Ovis aries: one gene and its partners. The protein of the gene in region 3 purifies or fractionates together with the protein of the main gene of each other region. This does not show direct contact. Links are inferred from orthologs where the notes say so. Each region holds a gene or a part of one and is shown on either strand. Other genes may lie near its edges.

Region 1 (5,884 bases), on a different chromosome or scaffold from region 3:
ATCCATAATGTTGGAGGCTTGAAAATTCCTATCCAGTCAGTACTGCAATCCACTTTTTGCCATTATGGCTAGAATTATGTTACTGTTTTTGGGTGATGCTTTATTTTTTTCCCTCCAGAAACTGAGTTAGAAAACTAACTAGACCTTTCCCCAGCTTAACCAACATTTACCTGTCAACAGAATGGAATCTGATTCAAAGTCACCTCTCACGTCATGATAAATTTTTCTAAACTGACTGGTATGCCAACTATTTAAATGAAACCAGCATGAGCTATTACATTAAAAAAATCACTTTAATGATCTTTTTAATGGTTTCAAGCTTAAACTAATACTGCTACTAGCTAAAATTATACTTAAAAAATTACTTTAATATTCAAAAAAGGTAAAAGTTGAAGGACACAAGTCACAAAATATAGAATTAGTACTTGTGGGTTACCAGGGAACTCTTGTTCTACAGGAAGGAAAGCTAAACATGGGTATGTGCAAATACTTTGATTGAAAATGCACCAGGAAGCTGGACCAAGTTATGGGAACAAACACTTTTTGATAAAGCAAATAATAGAGATGATGGTTAGTAAAGTGAAAAACCTTGATAAGGAAAAAAGTCTAACTATGCCTACATGGACTCACAGACAAATTACAAATTCTGGCTCCCTCTGTGCATAAAACTAGTTTAGGCCCAAGTCACTGGCACAATCTATTTTCTTTGCAGCAGACTTGGTCACTGTAGTAAGACAGTGATATGATAAAATTGAGTTTGGCTGACATAGAAAGTAGAATTTCAATGATTAAATATGGGTAATAAAGTCTAAGTATTAAAGACTAAACACAAAACATTTTTCTCCCTCTGTCTTGAGGCAACACTGACACCCCAGGAAAAAAAATCCAACACTGTTTCTCTTTCCTCCTGACCCACTGTCAGTTCCCTAAGGAAAGGACATTAAAAGGTAGAAAAATTTGAGGTAGATAGGTCAACTAATTTTCATCTGTAATACTGAGAACTGTTTTCAGCTGAATGGGTGAAAGAAATCCAAGAAAACTCTTCAAATTGTTTCTATGAGAATACTTATAACCTGATACATCTCAACTCCCCCAAATAAAAATACTAGTAGAAATTTTGTTCCTACTTTCCAAAAAGAACAATCAGAGTCTAGTTTGCTTTGTAACTCAATTTATGACAAGCACTCCAATTACAAGGTTGCTCCTGTAGGACTACTGAAGTACAGGAACACCAGACACAAAAGGCAGTTATCAGGCGTGTTTGTCGTTCTGTTACTTTGCTGACTAAGGAACAACTGAAGCTGTAAGGGACTCCTGGATTTCTCCCTTAGCCTTGCCGTGTGGCTTATGGGATCTTAGTTCCCTGACCAGGGATTGAACCCCAGGCCCTCAGGGTGAGGTCGAAATTCTAACCACAGGATGGCCAGGAAATTCCCTGATTTTTGTCTTCGGTAAAACTGCTTCCCCCCTCTGTATTGATAATTTAAAAAATCACACACAACCTAAGGCTTTGCATTTTTCACATCTGTTTTCCACATGCATTACATCATCTGATTCTAAGGCAGGCAATGAATGTCACAGGGCAGAATACTCATGGAAATTCAGAGTAATTGACTTGCCTAAGTGAAAATAAATATAATTCTCTATGTATTTCCATAGTTGACTACATTCATCTAAATCAAATGAAGATGGTATCTGAGAGAACAGCTGATGTATGTTAAAGGTTTTGATAAGTACCACATTAGATCATACAAGTGACAGAGGACAGACAATATTTAGTGAATGGAGTAACAGAATCTTTTCCATTTACAAAATGCTATCATAAATATTTTTTGAAGTTTTTAAGTTCTCTGCTATCCCTATTTTTCAGATAAAACAAGAAGCCAAGAGAGGCATGTTTACCTATTATTATATAAGTAAAAGAGTTCAGTGATCTTTTCTACACTAAAGTTGCCTCAAGGAGTCTGACTGGAGTTTAAGGGTTCATTTCACAATCTGAAATTGCCTTTTCATAATCTTTTTGCTTGGATATTGGAGGAATTTTGCTATTATAGAAGGCATTTACTTAATGTCAAATCATCTCATCCTGGAAACAATTATAGGGAGTATATGCTTCAGAATGTACTTTTTTGGGGGAATAATTACTGTAGAATTAATTCTGATTGGTAATCAAGACCAATCACAAGTATGTTTGGTTCTAGATATTAAACTTTGTCTTCTTCAGCAAGATTAGGGATCTGAGTCAGTGATATTTATGTCCATTCTTCTTTATAAGCCAATGAGACAAACTTCACTTCTGATTCAACAGGCCTGAGCGAGACTGGACTAGTGGAAGTCGACAAGAGGACTGCACTGGGCATGGAGGAGAATGCAAGAGGACGCATCTTTGCCAGCCGGTGCTTTCCCGCCTGCCTCTGCCTTCCAGGCTTCTCCTCCTGAAGGAGCACAGACAACCGGAGGACAAGCAGGAGGCTGACGAGGCCCAAGAAGGATCGTTAATACCACATCTGCCAGAGGCTGTATCTGTTCCTGAGGGAGAATGGACAACCCTTCTTGCTTTGAAGCTAAAACAGGGACAATCAGGAATGGATGGTTCATGTCATCTTCCTTCCTTTTTTTTTTTCTGTTGGCATCTCTGAATACAACAGGCTTATTTTTCAGGTTCTTAGTGTTACATGCTCAGGTCAGTGAACCCACAAGGGTGACTTAGAAAGGAATAGGATAAGTTGTTTTCCCAGCAGTTCAAGTTCCCCACGCTAACGCAAAAAAAGTAACCTGAAAGAGCTATGATACTCTTCAATTATTATTTAAAATCAAGTATAACACAGTTTCTGCCTAATCTCTCATATTTCTTGTACCCAAACGGAAACGCTCACCATAATTAAAGTTGCTCAAATTGCTGCTATATTTCCCACTAGGAGGATTATAAATCTGCCTGGCATCCCTTTTTGGTCCTGCTGAAGATTTCTTGGGAGGTGAACCTGAAGTTGTATCTTCACTGGCTCTCTTTTGCCTATAACGGTAGGAAGAGCAGCAATGAAAAAAAATTCTTTTATATCAGAGGCTAGCAATAAATTTATCATATTAGTCACAAAAGACACCCTAAAGATGATAATCACATCAGAAAAAAGGAAATAACATCTGATGTCATCAAATTAACTCTGCTTCGGTTATGCAGACATTGTCACAAGGGCATTTACAAGGCTCTAAAACAATGTGAACTATGTAGCTTCATAGATTATACACAAGTGACTCATTTCATAGAACTTACCAAAAAAGTCTTATGCCACAGCAATACAAACAATGGTTTGAAAATTCCAGAGTTGTATTCCACCAGTTTATTTTATAAACACTAGATTAGATTTTCTATGTAAGTCATGCTTCTAATAGCTATATTTTAACATCTTATTAAGACTCATTTAATAATGTACCATTTTGTACAGGAAATGCAATAATCTGAATTCAGACTTTTCATATTTATAAATCAAATTAGAACACTTTAATCCCTTTTAAATATGTTTCTTACCCAAGTTCAACCTTCTGTACAGGCTTCCAGGATAATGTTACTGTGCTCTTATAAGAAGGAGGAATATGGAAGAGATCCTGAAGAAACAAAATGAAGAGATTTCTGAAGTATTTGGTGGTGTGGCAAGTGGCAGTAAAGATAGGAAATGGGAAGACACATCTTTAATCTTAGAAGGAGAGTAACTTATCCACTTGCTTTTGTGCTAGTGACTAAAACAAGAACCTAGGGAAAACTGCATGAGAAAGTAAACAAGGACAATTTGGTTTGCAAATGACATACATTACCTAATTAATGTTATTTTGTGCATATCACTTAAGAAAGTGCAGCTAACTTTTTTCAAATGTCGTTTCAGGTTACAGGACAAAATATCAATTTTTATCAACTTCAATAAAATCATCAAGTGGTTTCTTTTGCACAGATGCAGTCACTAAGGTGCTTTAAGGAAAATATAATGGTGCAATCTGCATTTGCTATTGCAGATTTTTAAGTGGTTCAATACTAGAACAAAACCAATGGTCTGGGTAATCATGTTTTTCTTCCCCTCAAATATCTATATATTACCAATAATGAAAAATTCCACATTATTTAAATACTAAATTATCAATATATGGCAATGCAAATATTTGCTAAATTTAAATACTGAAATAATTCAGAAGTGAAGTAATCTAGTCCTCATTATACCCTCAAAACTATGATGAATTTATATTTATCGTTTTACCCTAATTTTTATATATAGGTAAAATCTGATAAAAGTAAACTGAGTTTCTTTCACAGTATTTGCTTATTCTAAACATTATCTTCAACTTTGATTTATGGTATCAGTTCAAATAAAGTAAAATCTCACATTTTAATGTATTAATTCACCATTTCAAACTATGATTTATATTTAAGATTTGAAATAAATGGAGCCTATTATAAAAATTTTCTTTGAGGTGTGAGTCAGTTTTCTTCCCTCTTAATGCCCTTTCCCTTTTCCTCTTGGCACTGATAATTCATCCCTTAATGTCTCACTGCTTTCTCTGAAAAGTTCCCTTTCTCTTCTGATAAAAAGTAAGTATTCCATGGGATTTTTACCAGACTACTTTTAAGACATACCACTAGCCCTGATTTTGTTCCTGTCAGGCTTTGTGCTGTGTGACAAATATTTCTTTCTCCCACCTGGCTACAATACTGTTAACTGTGACAATACCGTTAACTTATGATATCAAATGATGGGCTCTTTGTTGTGATTGCTCTTTTGTTCTTTCAGGTTATTAGTTTTTGTTTAGGCTAACAGATACTTGAGGAGGATAAATGGAACTGAACCGTATTTATGGTTTAATGGTAAGGTACACCTTAGCCTACAGTATAGAACACTCTCAATTTATTACATAGAGAAATTAACAGAAAAGAGCATAGGACATGTCATGCACCACATAAGACTGTCCATTCTTAGTAAAAGTGAAGCAGGGTTTTATTGGTCATTCAAAAGGAACCAATAGCGTTAAAACTACAAGAGCTTAAGTCAGTGAAATTTCTGAGTCTAATGTATCTGCTCCAACGCTGTTTGTCAGAACTGTGCATGCCTCCCTTTGTTTACAGTATCTTCTGCAATAACATTTAAATAAATAAAACAATGAATTATAATAGCTACAAAAGTGTTACCTGGTATTATAAAAAGCATAAAGCTTTAAAAGGCCAAATGTATGCAATGTAATGGCATTTCTCCTTCACTAGACCATTACGGACATATCCCTTGCACTAACTTTCTAGCTAGTTGGGATGGCTGAGTAAGAAAGGAAGACTTACCTTGATTAAAACATTAATATTATTTGTTATTTTCAATGCAACGACTTTAATCTTGTTCTGTAAAAGGAAAACAACATTAAATTAAAATGCCAGTAACTTTTATGATATATTACTTTCCCATATAAAACTTGAACTCCACTTCTTTTTCAGAATCATTTCTACAGTTAGGAAATTAATTGGCTTATATCTACAGATAATGCTTATTCCTATTTCTCGACAATTAACAAATGTGGCGATGGCAAAGACAGCAAATAATCTTTTATCTTCCCTCAACAGGTTAGAACATTAAACTGTTAACAGTTTACCTGAAAACCAAGTAAGCGACAGGTCATTGGCATGTATCAGTTGTTCAAAAGAAACTAGAATACGTTACAGAAAGGCACAAGGAAACTTAAAATATTTCATTAGGACTAGGATGAAGTAGGATGAAGACTGATCAAAATAGATGCGATCAGGGAAAACCAAAGATCCCAACGTAAACACAAGATATAGTTTGGTACAGAATTAGTAGTTTAATACTTTTAATTTTAATGTAAACTAATGTTTGGGTTTCAAAAAGGTAAAATTTTA
Region 2 (5,884 bases), on a different chromosome or scaffold from region 3:
CCTTCTAAGGTGCCTGGCAGATCACAAAAGCCGTTTTCTGGAGAAAAGTATCTAACCCAGGCCTCCGAATTATTCCTTCAAATATCTTCTCAAACATAACATCAAACGCTAACCAGAAACACACAAAGAGATAAGACATCATGAGTGAGAAACAGGCACAAGTGTGAGTGACGAACAGCCGCAAGGACTTAAGACACTGGCATTATCAGACATATAGATAAAGGTAACAGTGCCTACCCTGGTTAGACAACTAAAAAACAAGCTTGAAAACAGGGAATAAGAAACTAAAAAGTGACACACAGACTTAAAAAAAGACTTTTTAGAAATGAAATATACAATTACGGAAATTAAGAACTCATTTTGCAGCAGATTATTCATAGATGAACAGAGTAGTAAACTAGAAAACATTTCCAAAGAAATCACGCAGAATGTGATGGAAATGGGACTTCCCTGGTGGTCCAGTGGCTAAGACTCTGAGCTCCCAGTGCAGGGGGCCCAGGTTCGATCCCTGGTCAGGGAGCTAGATCCCACATGCTACAACTATGACCCAGAGCAGCCAAATAAAAAAATAAAATTAAAAAAAAAAAAAGAAAAGAATGTGATGGAAAGAGAGACAGATGAAAAATGCAGAAAGTGTAAGAGACAGACAAGGTATAGAATGTTAACTAGAGTTCCATAAAGAGAAAGCAGCATACACAATATCTGAAGAAACATCAGCTTAAATTTTTACAAAGTGGATGAAGGACAACCAATGCACAAACTCAAGATGCCCACAAATCTGAAGAATGATAAATTTTAAAAATCCATGCTTGGATACATTATAGAAAACTGAAAAACCAAAAACCCCACAAACAAAAGAACAAACAAAAACTCAAAGCAAAAGAAAACTTCAAGAGCAAACAGAGAAAAAAACAAAACTAGATTATCTTCAAAGGAGTTAGACTGAGATCTGACTCCTCTCTAGAAGACAAAGGCAAAGAAATGATGACCTTCCACTAAATGAAATCCTATATCCAGTGCCAACCTACTTCAACCATTCTATCTAATCTTCAACCATTCTTCGTAAAGAAAAAGATTTTCAGACAGAACAAAATTTGCACTAAAGAAAAGTCTAAAGGGGAAAATAGTCACAGACAGAGGATCAGAAATACAAGTTGTGAATACACTGGTAAATTGAAATTAATCCTGACCACATTTAAATAAGAGGAAAGAAAAAAAGCAGAGACACAGCAGGACAAAAAGAAAGTCACAGGTAATTTTGCCACTGCTAACACAAACTATAGGTCTTACCACAAGCAGGCACTGCTGTAAGCTCGTCACATGTTTTAACTCATTTAATCCTTACAACATGGGAAGCAGGTGGTAGATTAGCCTGATATTAAGGAAGGGGTGACTGAGGCGAATAGACAGTTAAAATCTGGCATATCCGAACAGACTGTGGAGGGCTCGAGAGAACTGTCATGCTTCACTTTTGGACCTGACCAGTGGTAATGCAACTATATGCTTTATAATTATTATACTATACACTTACTTCATGCACTTTTCATATTACTGTTATATTTCACAATGATAAATGAACAAAAGTAACTGTGGCTAAACAGTGACTGAAGAAGAAAACGGAAGCAAAAAATAAAAACATGATTCATGTCTACATATTTCAGTGTGATTCAACTGTACATTATTATTAATAAGCTTTGAACTTGAAGAATCAATGGCTTTATTTGAGTGTTACCTGTATTATGCACTGGAATAGGTACAACTATTTACAAGTAAACGAAAATCAAGTGACAATTTCCTATGCTATCTCTCAACTTTTTAGAACCTTTTTTTTTTTTTAAATCATCATGGTATATTCTAGTCCATGAAAAACAGGTAAAAATTTTCCTGCAAAGCAATTTATTTACAAAAGCTCACCTGATTTCTCAGATAAAGGGAAAAGCCTGGCCAAAAAGAGTTGAATTCGTCCACAGAAGACTGTATTCTGGGATTTTGATAATCTTCGTAGGAGATCTAACAACAAATGGAAACAAAGGTTACACAGCAGAGATCATTCTATATTTATTACAATATACCCAAGTGTCTTAACCAGTTCAAAAGTATTTTCCTAAAGCAGTAGTTCTCAAAATGGGGGTAGAAACTATTTTTTGTCACAAAAAAAGGACTAGAAAATTAAAAATAAAATGAGTTTAACATGGACAAGATAAACTTAACTCAACTTTTTGGTTTTTATTAAGTTTATACCTAGAACAGGAATAGATAAATTTAAAGCAAATGATCAGTTTTAATAAATCAGATTGCTATTTTAAAATGAAGATACAATCTACTTAAAAAAAATTTAATCTCTTGTGTTTAATGCAACCACCTGGTTTCCTGACCATATTTCCTTCTTAAAAACCAATCATTTACTGCTCAGTTACTTACCATTGCACATACGTAGTAAATAATTTTTCCCAGCAGAATAGAATGTATTCTGAAATTAAGACAGAAATTACTATTATTGTTCTGAAGTTGTTGCACATTCTTCAATAGTAAGTCACAGGAAGTAAGATTTTAAAGAACACTAATATGTGCTGAATCTACTATGCCGCTTTCAATTCTTCCAAGCAAATAACATTTTTAATGAAATATTTTCAAACATATAACAAAGACGATTCTAAGTAACTTTTAAAACATGTAAAAGTGTGTGTTTTCCAGGTAACTGTTTCTACTCAAATTTTGTACTGTCATTTTTATCTCCATGTGACTCTTACTTGGCTTTTCCAAGAAAGCAGAACACATAACTCTCATAAAGGTAAACTTTTTAGCAATCAGCAAAGTCAGAAATAAAAGCCACAAACAAAACAAACTACCCTCAGAACTCTGGATCTATAGAAAGCTAAAGACAGCAGAAAAAGAAACTAAGGCACTTACTGATTTCCAGGTAGCAACATTTCTTTCCACAAAAGTGAATATTGTGTCACACTGATCCAAAGGAAGACAGTCCAAAACATCTCCCAACAATACAAAAGGTGTAGATGCCGTACAAATACCTTCAAGTGGAGCACAAGCCAATTTAAAAGTTTACAATACGGCTGAGTAAAAGAGCTCATGCAAAAAATTCTGAAGATAATCTTAAAGGTACACTTTGTCCATCCTAACAAGGCTGTGAAAAGCAAGAAACAGAAGCAACCTAAAAGTCCCCAAGGAAGATATACTTAAGTGTATTTAAGTTTCGGTATGTGTCATCCTTGATAACCCTTCTAGAGCATTTAGTATATGTCAGGCACACCAAGTGCTTCACATACACTAACACACGTAATCCTCATAACCCTATGAGGGAGAGAATATTCTCTCCAGTTTACAGAATGGGAAAACTGAGACACAGAGAAGTTAAATGAGTTGCCCAAGATCACAGAGCCAGTAAGCAGTAGAGCTGGGATATGAACCCAGGCAGTCTGGCTTCACAGTCTGTTTTCTTCACCACTAAGCTATTCGAAAGAATATAATGCAGCCAATTAAAAATGACGGTTATGATTGACTATAATAACTTGGAAAATGCTTATGATTTAATGTCAAGTGAAAAAGGCAGGGTTCAAAACTGTATGGGTATTATGGTTATAACAATAAAATCTATTAAAAAGCCTAGAGAAGCTAAAATCATATACCAAAATAAATAGTAGTTTTTTGAAGTAGCAGAACTGGAACTAGTATTTTCCCATTTCCAAATGTTCTGTAATAATGCTAAATTTAAATTGTCTTTGTCATTTGAAAAGATCTAGTTCAAAAAAGATCACAAAAAAGTTTGATACTAATTTCAGTTCTTACTATACTTTTAAAATATACTGTTGTTTCAAAGAAAAAATTGGTAAAATAGAAAGCTATGTCTAAATTCAATCTTACTAAAGCAATAAACTAAAGACTTTAAGGTCATCTAGGCTAGTTAAAAATGCTTTTATTTCCCTACTCATTCTTCCTTCTATTTTTCGGTAATAGATACTAATACCTGTTACGAGTTTAGGAAAAGTAGCCACTTCAGCATGATATGTAAAAAAAGTATCTAGGGGCATTATTAGCCCCTAATACTGCATTAACACAGTAGTTCATAAACAGGAAGTAGTATTTCCAGCTCTGCACTGCACTGGAAAGATCACAGCTGGAATGTAATATGAGGGATACTGCCTAGAACTAGTGAGACATAAAGCAGCAAAGTTCAACTCAATGCAAAGGAAATCTGATCATCAGAACCAGCTAAGAGAAATCAAACGGTGAGCTTCAGTTACTGAGGGGAGACAGGACAGGCCAGAGACAAGACTGAACCAGATGACCTCCAAAGTCCTTCAACACTTAGATTTGTGATACTTTGTGTCCTGTTTATCCAAGAGATTAGAGAGACATACTCCCTGCCCTTAGCTGAAGTATAATTTGGCAAAATCACACACATTTAATTACAGAACTTAAGAAAATTACCTAGATTCCACTCTCAAAGATTCAGTAAAACTGAGTGAAAGCCTGGCAATTAATTTGAAAATGGAGCTTCACTGGTGATTCTGATGAGCTGGGTTATCACACGATTCCCCAAAACTATCACAACCCGTGTCCCAGCCTCTATGCTGCCCTCTGAGCTTCATCTTAACCTTGGCCACAGATACCCCTCCTGAGTTCCCAAACACCTTGCTACGTTCAAGCCTGCATGGTTTTGTTTACGATGTTTTCTGCCTAAATAGGCTTCTTCCTCTCTATCACATGGTAAATTCCTACTCAGTCTTTCAAAGCATATAGTACATACTGCATCTAAAATACTCTTCTGGTACTTCTGTGTAGACTACCACATCTCTGCTTCTGAAAGCCACTGCACATAAATTATAGTACTTATCATATCCAAACTGTTTATTATTATTATGTAGACTATGAGCTTTTTAAAGGTAGGCATTTTTGAAGGTTTTCACCAGTGGAGAGTCTGACACAACAGAAGCTCAATAAGTATCTGCCAAGTTGAGTTTAACAAAGCATGTTTATGGACAATTAGAAAATCTGTCACATAATAAACAATAATATTGGTTTCAAGAAGAAATTTTTCCCATCAAATTAAAATAAAAAGGTATTTAAATTTTTATTCATGGCTTAACTGAGTTAAGTCCATATCTTTCCCAAATAAAGTAAAAGTTTTAAACACAGACTTTGTATAACTTCAAGCATTTGCCAACAAACGTCTGTCTAGTCAAAGCTATGGTTTTTTCAGTAGTCATGTATGGATGTGAGAGTCCATAAAGAAAGCTGAGCACTGAAGAACTGATGCTTTTGAACTGTGGTGTTGGAGAAGACTCTTGAGAGTCCGTTGGACTGTAAGGAGATCCAACCAGTCCATCCTAAAGGAAATCAGTCCTGAACATTCACTGGAAGGACTGATGCTGAAGCTGAAGCTCCAGTACTTTGGCCACCTCATGTGAAGAACTGAGCCATTGGAAAAGACCCTGATGGTGGGCAAGATTGAGGGCAGAAGGAGAACGGGATACCAGAGGATGAGATGGTAGGATGGCATCACCGACTCGATGGACATGAGTTTGCGCAAGCTCCAGGAGTTGGCAATGGACAGGGAGGCCTGGCGTGCTGCAGTCCATAGGGTCGCAAAGAGTAGGACACTGAGTGACTGGACTGAACTGACTGAAGCATTAAAAACATTACCAGTTTACAAGAGTAATCATATCAGGATAATCAATGAAGTAAATGTTGCAAACTGTTTGACAGGAACTGGCAAGGAACACTCCATTGCAGTACTCGTTTGAATATGCTTAATAAATGAATGATGAATAAGCATTTCATACAAGTTTAACCCCTAAAGCCAAAATTTATGAACTACTTAAGTTCACAAAATTGCTTGCAGCTACACTGGAAGATCACTTTTACC
Region 3 (6,431 bases):
CAGGATGGCTTGCGGAATACACTCGTGCTGGACTGAGGGAAGAGAGCACATGAGCTATCAGAAACCAGACGGACACTCCCTCCGTGCAGGCCCCTCACCTGAGGGGACCACGCCGAAGTAGTGAGAGGAGAGCCGAGGAAGGGAGGACCCAGGGATGCGTACCCTCTGATGGATGCTCAAAGCCACAGTCCACTATGGCCCTCAGGAGCTCTGGCTTCAACAGAAAGTCCCGGAAGCCAGAGCTGTGGATGGAAACATAGGAACCCTTAACGTCTTTCTTGGGGGGAGGTGGAGCGCTCTCTGGAGGTGCCTGGGGCTCTTCATCTTCCTCATAATCCAGAAGCTCGTTTTCCACATCCTGTTCCGCCATGCTACTGAGAACAGAAGAGGGGGAACAGGGCTCAGAGAAGCAACAACGGTGACTGACGCAGGCAGGAAAATTCCCAGAGTGAGGGGGAAGAGGGAGCCGGCTGCACAGAAGCTGCGAGCTGCTGACACAAGTCTGAGGCGGGTGAGGTCCTGGGGTCAGGTCTGGCCGCCTGGCCACTGAAGCCAAGACTGGACCTCATTCTCCCATCTCTCTCTAACTCACCTCCGCCACTGACTCCAACAGCAGGTCCCACTACTCCAGCTATGTGGCACTTCCCAGCTTCCAACTGTTGTGCCCACCTCTCCACCACCCTCCACTGAGCTGCCTCACCTCTCCCTGGGACCCTTCAGGACACAACCACAGGTGTATCAAGTGAAACCCCAATTCCTTTCCACTTGCAACCTCCCTCACTGGCCCCTGCCCACCCCATTCCATGCCACCCCAGCCTCATTTGGCTGCTGATACTCACTGAGCCTCTAACCCCCACTCAGGTCACCCAGCCCCACAGGCATGACTCTGCTGCATTACTTCTGGTCTCTGAACAAATAAATGCCTCCTTCTCAGCTTCAAGGTCTCAGCTCTACTGAATAGCCTCAGACCACCTAGTCTCAAGGACTCCCCTCCCCCTTCACTCCCCAAGGACCCCACCCTGAGCCTGGAGATGCAACTGCCAGGATGCTGGAGAGATGGGAGCTTGTGAGCTCGCCAGTGTCTACCCAGCCCCAGCTGCTCCTGCTATTTGTGGTTTGCACAAGGGAATAATTAAGTGCTCTCATGAAAAGACCTCCCATTGGGCCTGGAGCCAGTAAGAATACAGCCAAGATGGTAAAAAGAATTAATACAAAGTGCGATCACTTCCTGGCTTCATTTAATTCAGACACACAGAGCACCTAGTGGGTGCAGGCTACAAGGGTCCCAAACATGAGGATACTTTTGTCCTCCCTGTTGCACCCCAGCCTCCAGTCAAGGGGGTGGTTGTTGCTGTCATTTAGTTGCTAAGTCGTTTCTCTTTGTAACCACATGAACTCTAGCTGGCCAGGTTTCTCTGTCCATGGGATTTTCCAGGCAAGAATACTAGAGTGGGTTGCCATGCCCTCCTCCAGGGGATCTTCCCGACCCGGGGACTGAACCCACATCTCCCGCATTGGGAGGTGGGTTCTTTACCATTCAGCCCTCAGGGAAGCCCAGTGAAGGGGTGGAAGTGCTAAAAAGAGTCCCTCTTCCTGAGATGGATCTTGATGGTCCCAGGCCCAATTTGTGGCCCTTTTGCCACTCATCCTCTGTGAGTATGCAGCCCCAGGGCCTTAACTACCTCCTTGCGGCCTTTCTATGGACAACCTCTCCCCTCAACCCGCATCTGAGAAAAGGCAACTCCGTTCTCTGAACTGTTCTCTTTTCTCTTTTCCTGTCCCACAGCCAATAAAGCCAAGCAGGTCAATCAGGCCACTTCTCACCCCTGCTACGTCACTGGCTCTCAGGCCACCATCACCTTTCTTTTTATAGAGCAGCTTTATGGAGACATTCACATGCCATACAAGGCACTGTTGAAAAGGCACATTTTATTGGTTTCTTGTGCAGTCGTAAATACTTTCAACTGCTGCACAGTCATCTTTAGCATACATTTCCTCATGTCAGTAAGACTGAATCCTTAGGCTACCATCCTGTGCCCCCCCAACTTACTTTGGCAACCACTAATCTTTTTTGTGAATCTGCCTACCTGGAACATTTCATATAATGGAATCATACAACATGTGACAGTCTGACTTCTGTTACTCACATAATTTTTCAAGGTTCCTCTACAGTGTGGCCATGTATCAGTACACCATTCCTTTTTGTGGCTGATGAATATTCCTTTTTACTGGAATACTTCAGTTCGTTTTAGCCATTGTCAGCTGATAGCCACTTAGGCACTGTCACCTCTTGCCTGGATTATGCCAAAAGCCACCTTGTTGGGCTCCTTGCTTTCCATCTCCCACTCCCCCCTCAATGCCCCTCAGCTGCTGGAGGGAGCCTAAAAAAGCTAAGTCAGAGAAAGCCGCTCCTCTGCTCAACGCCCTCCACAGGATCCCACTGTGTTCAGAGTACAACAGAGTCTTCACCACAGCCTATCAAGCCCAGCACAACCTGACCCCCTCTATACTCAGTTTGTCACCCCCGTCACCCTTACACACAGGCCTTGCTTCTGAGCCTCAAACATGCCTCAGCACCTTTCAACTTGCTTTTCCCACTTTTTTCAGACCTCTGTTGTTTCAAAAAGGCGTTTTCCATTGTGTTTAGTCACTCTGTCGTCTCCAACTCTTATTGACACCATGGACTGTGGCCCACCAGGCTCCTCTGTTCTTAGGATTTTTCAGGCAAAAATACTGGAGTGGGTTGCCATTTTCTCCTCCAGGGGATGTTCCTGACCCATGGATCAAGCCCCCATCTCTATGTCTCCTGCAATGCAGGCAGATTCTTTACCCACTGAACATCAGGGAAGCTGTTCTGTTGTTCCAAAATGGCATATTCCAAAGTTGGGTCCAACTTAAAAAACACCCCCTCCAGTCACGCCAGCCCAGCACCCAGAACAGCACCTAGTACATAACAAGCAAGCACTCAAGAGCAAATGGCTGAATGAATGGAATCAGAATCGGGGCCTCAAGGCAGAGTTTAGGGGCTAAGCAAGTATCCTTATGGGATTCTTGAAAGAGGCAATCCGATACAAGTACTGAGGATTCCTACTGGTGAAAACAGGAACGCTCACTTCAAGCATCAAAGAGAAGAAAAGGCACCAGCAAACGGCGGTCCAGAAACCACTAGTCTAAACCCTTTCAGGGGTTGGAAAGAACTGGCTGCTTGAAGCAAGAGGCAGAAAACCAAGCTGGTTAGGCCCAGAGCATTCATACTTAATTCGCTGAACAATAAGAAATCGCTGATTAGGTTTTCAGTTGTGACTCAATCAGGATTTGCTCAAGACCAAGTTACTCCAGAGAAGATGGAATAAGTTAAGGGACCAGCAGCAGGGAAAACCAGACACCAAATCAAAGAGGGTTAACCACGGTGGGAGCATTGTTAGAGAGGGAAAAGAGGTTGGATCACCCTACAGGGAAAGACCAAACCCTGGGGGAGCCTTCGACATTAAAGACGCAGCGTCGTCTACTCTGGGCTTAAAATCCGGAAAGAGATGAGCATTCCAAAAAATAAGAGAAGAGTTCGAAGAAACTCTTTTTGTTTTAATGGGGAGACAAATTTAATGACAGACTAAGCTTGACACACAAAAATTTCTAGGGACTGGCTAGACAGAACCTAAAAATCAAAACAAATTAGATCAGGACAGGATTTGGCGCTGTTTGCTCCACCCAGAAAAGGTGGCAGAGGCCCCAAGAGCTGATCAACTTGAAAGCTGACAGACGACTAAGTAACAACTCAGAGCCTTTCGCGTACCCTTGTCACCCTGAAGTGCCCCCCAAGAGAATTTTCATTTAAGACTTTGTTCCTTACTGGAACATCACTTTTTGCCCTACATCTCTGGAACCACGAATCCACTCCCCCGAAACACAAAGCAAGAACGGAGGAAGAGTCTTTCGATCTTGAAGATCGCCACGTCTACCAGCTCCGGCTTCGCGCTCCGCGGCCCCAGACCCCCGCGTCGCCTCCTGACCCCTCCCCAAACCGTCTCGGGCTTCCAAGAACAGGCAGACTCTGCCCCAAGGTGGGGTTTAGCCTGCAGGCGGCCATGACAGCCCCTCCCGGAAGCGGACCCGTACCCGCGCGCCAACGGCCGGTCTGCCCCTCGCGCATGCGCCCTAACGCCCAACGGCCGCCAACGCGCGCTCCGGCCACCCCAACCGCCCCGCCTCCCCTTGTCTCGCGCCCGGTCTCCTTCCCTCAACTCCTGGCGTCTCCTATCTCCCGCTCGCCCGCCGATCCGACGTCTCCGCACCGCGGCCCCGCGCCTGGGCCAGCCGCTCACCTGATTCCTCGTTCGCTTCCCCGTGCTGCGAAGAGAGCACCCGGCTCCGGTTACCGTTCTCGCGCCCCGACACGCGCTGTTGCGCTTCCTGCCTCCTGGGTCCGACTGCGGCTCAGCTCACTGGACCGCTCGCTTTTCATTCAAGAGAGGCGGAAGCGATGATTGGATTCTGCGGAAGGCGTCTGGAGGCTATTGGTCGAGGGGGGAAAAGGGCGTGCCTCATACCTCCGATTCATTGGTCAATCAAAAAGTAGGCGCCGGAGTGGGCTGACCGAAGCGGGCGTCTGCGAGCGTACCGTCACGTGGTCGAGGTTGTAACCGGCTCGTGTGCCACCATATTTAGTACGGGCAACCGAAGCCGTGATGTGAGCCCAGGGTGAGTGTCTCGCCCTTAGGAAATATGGTCTCTACGCTGAGGAAAGAAATTTTTGAAGTGGTCCTGCAGTGTAGAGGTTCTGAAAGGGTTCTGAGAAGGCTAGGGAGCTTGGAATGATACCAGCCTTTTTATCCTGCCCTGAGTTGAGCGTTCCCATGAGTTCTGATGATTGATACCCGAGTGACAATTGCCCAGTGCAGTTATAGAACATTTCCGTCACCACAGAAAGTTCTGTTGTGTTCCTCTCAAGTCAGCCACACCCCTTTCCTCCCTCCTGCCCCAACCAGGCAACCACTATGTTTATTTCTATCACTATAATCTTGTCTGTTCTTGAATTTCATACAAACAGAATCATGCAGAAGATTGTCTTTTGTGTCTGGCTTCTGCTCAACAAAATGTTTGGAGATTTTCCACATTGCTATACATAGCAATATTCCTTCTTTTTTACTCCTGAGTAGTATTCCACTCGGAGAAGGCGATGCCACCCCACTCCAGTACTGTTGCCTGGAAAATCCCATGGACGGAGGAGCCTGGTAGGCTGCCGTCTATGGGGTCGCACAGAGTAGGACAGGACTGAAGCGACTTAGCAGCACCAGCGGTATTCCACTGTGTGGCTATTCCACAATATAGCCAATGTAGTTTCTCCATTCACTTATAGACATTTTTTCTCCAGTGTTTGGCCGTTACTAATAAATCATATACAAACATTTTTGTGAAAACGAATTTACCTCTCTAGGGCAAATAGCTGGGAGTGAAATGGTGAGTGGAAGGTCATGTGAGTGTTTAGCTTTAGTAGATCCTGACAGTTTTCTAAGTGGTTTTTCCACTTTACATTCTCACTAGCACCCTGTGAAAGTTCCAGTGATTCTTAATTCTTGCCATACCTGGTAGTGTCAGTCTTTTCTCAGCTATAGGAGATTTGGGGGGTGGGAAGGAGGAAGGAAAGTAAGTAGGGCAAACTCCATAAGCCTGCTCCAGCTTTCCAGTCTCCCTAAACCCTTGACACAATTAAATCTTTGTCCACAGTTTTCCAAAGAGGTTCAGGCATTTCTGTTTTCATTTAGTATAAAGCTATCGCAGGGTCCGTGTCTGAGACAAATTCAGAGCTAAAGTCATCACAGGTATAACTTCAGTCAAAAAGCCCAATGAAGAGAAACCAGTCAATCCAGAGGGAGGCTTTACATGACATAAGGTAGATATTGTATGTAATAATTACATCAGAACACTTATAGAGCACTTCCTCTATATCCGGAAGTGGGGAAGTGGGGCCAGAATGAGGGTGAGGCATGCAAACCTAAAGGGGGGTACCAAACACCAAAGCAAAAAACTCATGAGACTTCTCTGGTAGTTCAGTAGTTAAGAATCTGCCTTGCAATGTAGGGGACGTGGGTTCCATCCCTGGTCCGAGAAGATCCCACATGCAGTGCAGCAACTAAGCCTGAGAGCCACAACTACCGAGGCTGAGTGCTGCAACTACTGAACCCCGTGCACCTGGAGCCCGTGCTCCACAACAAGAGAAGCCACTGCAACGAGAAACACGCACAGCGGAGAGTAGCCCCTGCTCTCCGCAACTAGAGAGAGCCCACTCATAGCAACAAAGACCCAGCAGAGCCAAAAATAAAAAAATAATTTTTTTAATCTTAAAAAACTGAGTCATCAAGATAAATAATATTTGAATGCAGTATTTTAAAATTGAAATTAATGCTTAAAATCTCTCTAAAATATCTGATGAG

What was found. Proteins that work in one complex are often made in the same cells at the same time.
Region 1: the proteins of DDX39A (region 3) and API5 fractionate together in Homo sapiens (co-fractionation; 3 studies listed by BioGRID, with this or other methods). This does not show direct contact. The link is inferred for Ovis aries from reciprocal best matches to the Homo sapiens genes DDX39A and API5.
Region 2: the proteins of DDX39A (region 3) and THOC1 purify together in Homo sapiens (affinity purification with mass spectrometry; 3 studies listed by BioGRID and IntAct, with this or other methods). This does not show direct contact. The link is inferred for Ovis aries from reciprocal best matches to the Homo sapiens genes DDX39A and THOC1.

What each region holds. Positions count from the first base shown.
Region 1 is NC_056068.1:72,367,522-72,373,405, reverse strand, and holds part of API5 (apoptosis inhibitor 5), read right to left. Parts: intron 5,372-5,884; coding exon 5,315-5,371; intron 4,448-5,314; exon of another isoform or gene 3,604-4,447; coding exon 3,527-3,603; exon of another isoform or gene 3,014-3,526; coding exon 2,877-3,013; exon of another isoform or gene 2,309-2,876; intron 1-2,308. UniProt on the Homo sapiens protein: Antiapoptotic factor that may have a role in protein assembly. Negatively regulates ACIN1. By binding to ACIN1, it suppresses ACIN1 cleavage from CASP3 and ACIN1-mediated DNA fragmentation. Also known to efficiently suppress E2F1-induced apoptosis.
Region 2 is NC_056076.1:35,653,570-35,659,453, forward strand, and holds part of THOC1 (THO complex subunit 1), read right to left. Parts: intron 3,030-5,884; coding exon 2,911-3,029; intron 2,471-2,910; coding exon 2,422-2,470; intron 2,011-2,421; coding exon 1,915-2,010; intron 1-1,914. UniProt on the Homo sapiens protein: Component of the THO subcomplex of the TREX complex which is thought to couple mRNA transcription, processing and nuclear export, and which specifically associates with spliced mRNA and not with unspliced pre-mRNA.
Region 3 is NC_056058.1:9,662,713-9,669,143, reverse strand, and holds the start of DDX39A (ATP-dependent RNA helicase DDX39A), read right to left. Parts: upstream 4,432-6,431; 5' UTR 4,323-4,431; exon of another isoform or gene 2,148-4,322; intron 375-2,147; exon of another isoform or gene 372-374; 5' UTR 371-371; coding exon 163-370; intron 33-162; coding exon 1-32. UniProt on the Homo sapiens protein: Helicase that plays an essential role in mRNA export and is involved in multiple steps in RNA metabolism including alternative splicing. Regulates nuclear mRNA export to the cytoplasm through association with ECD.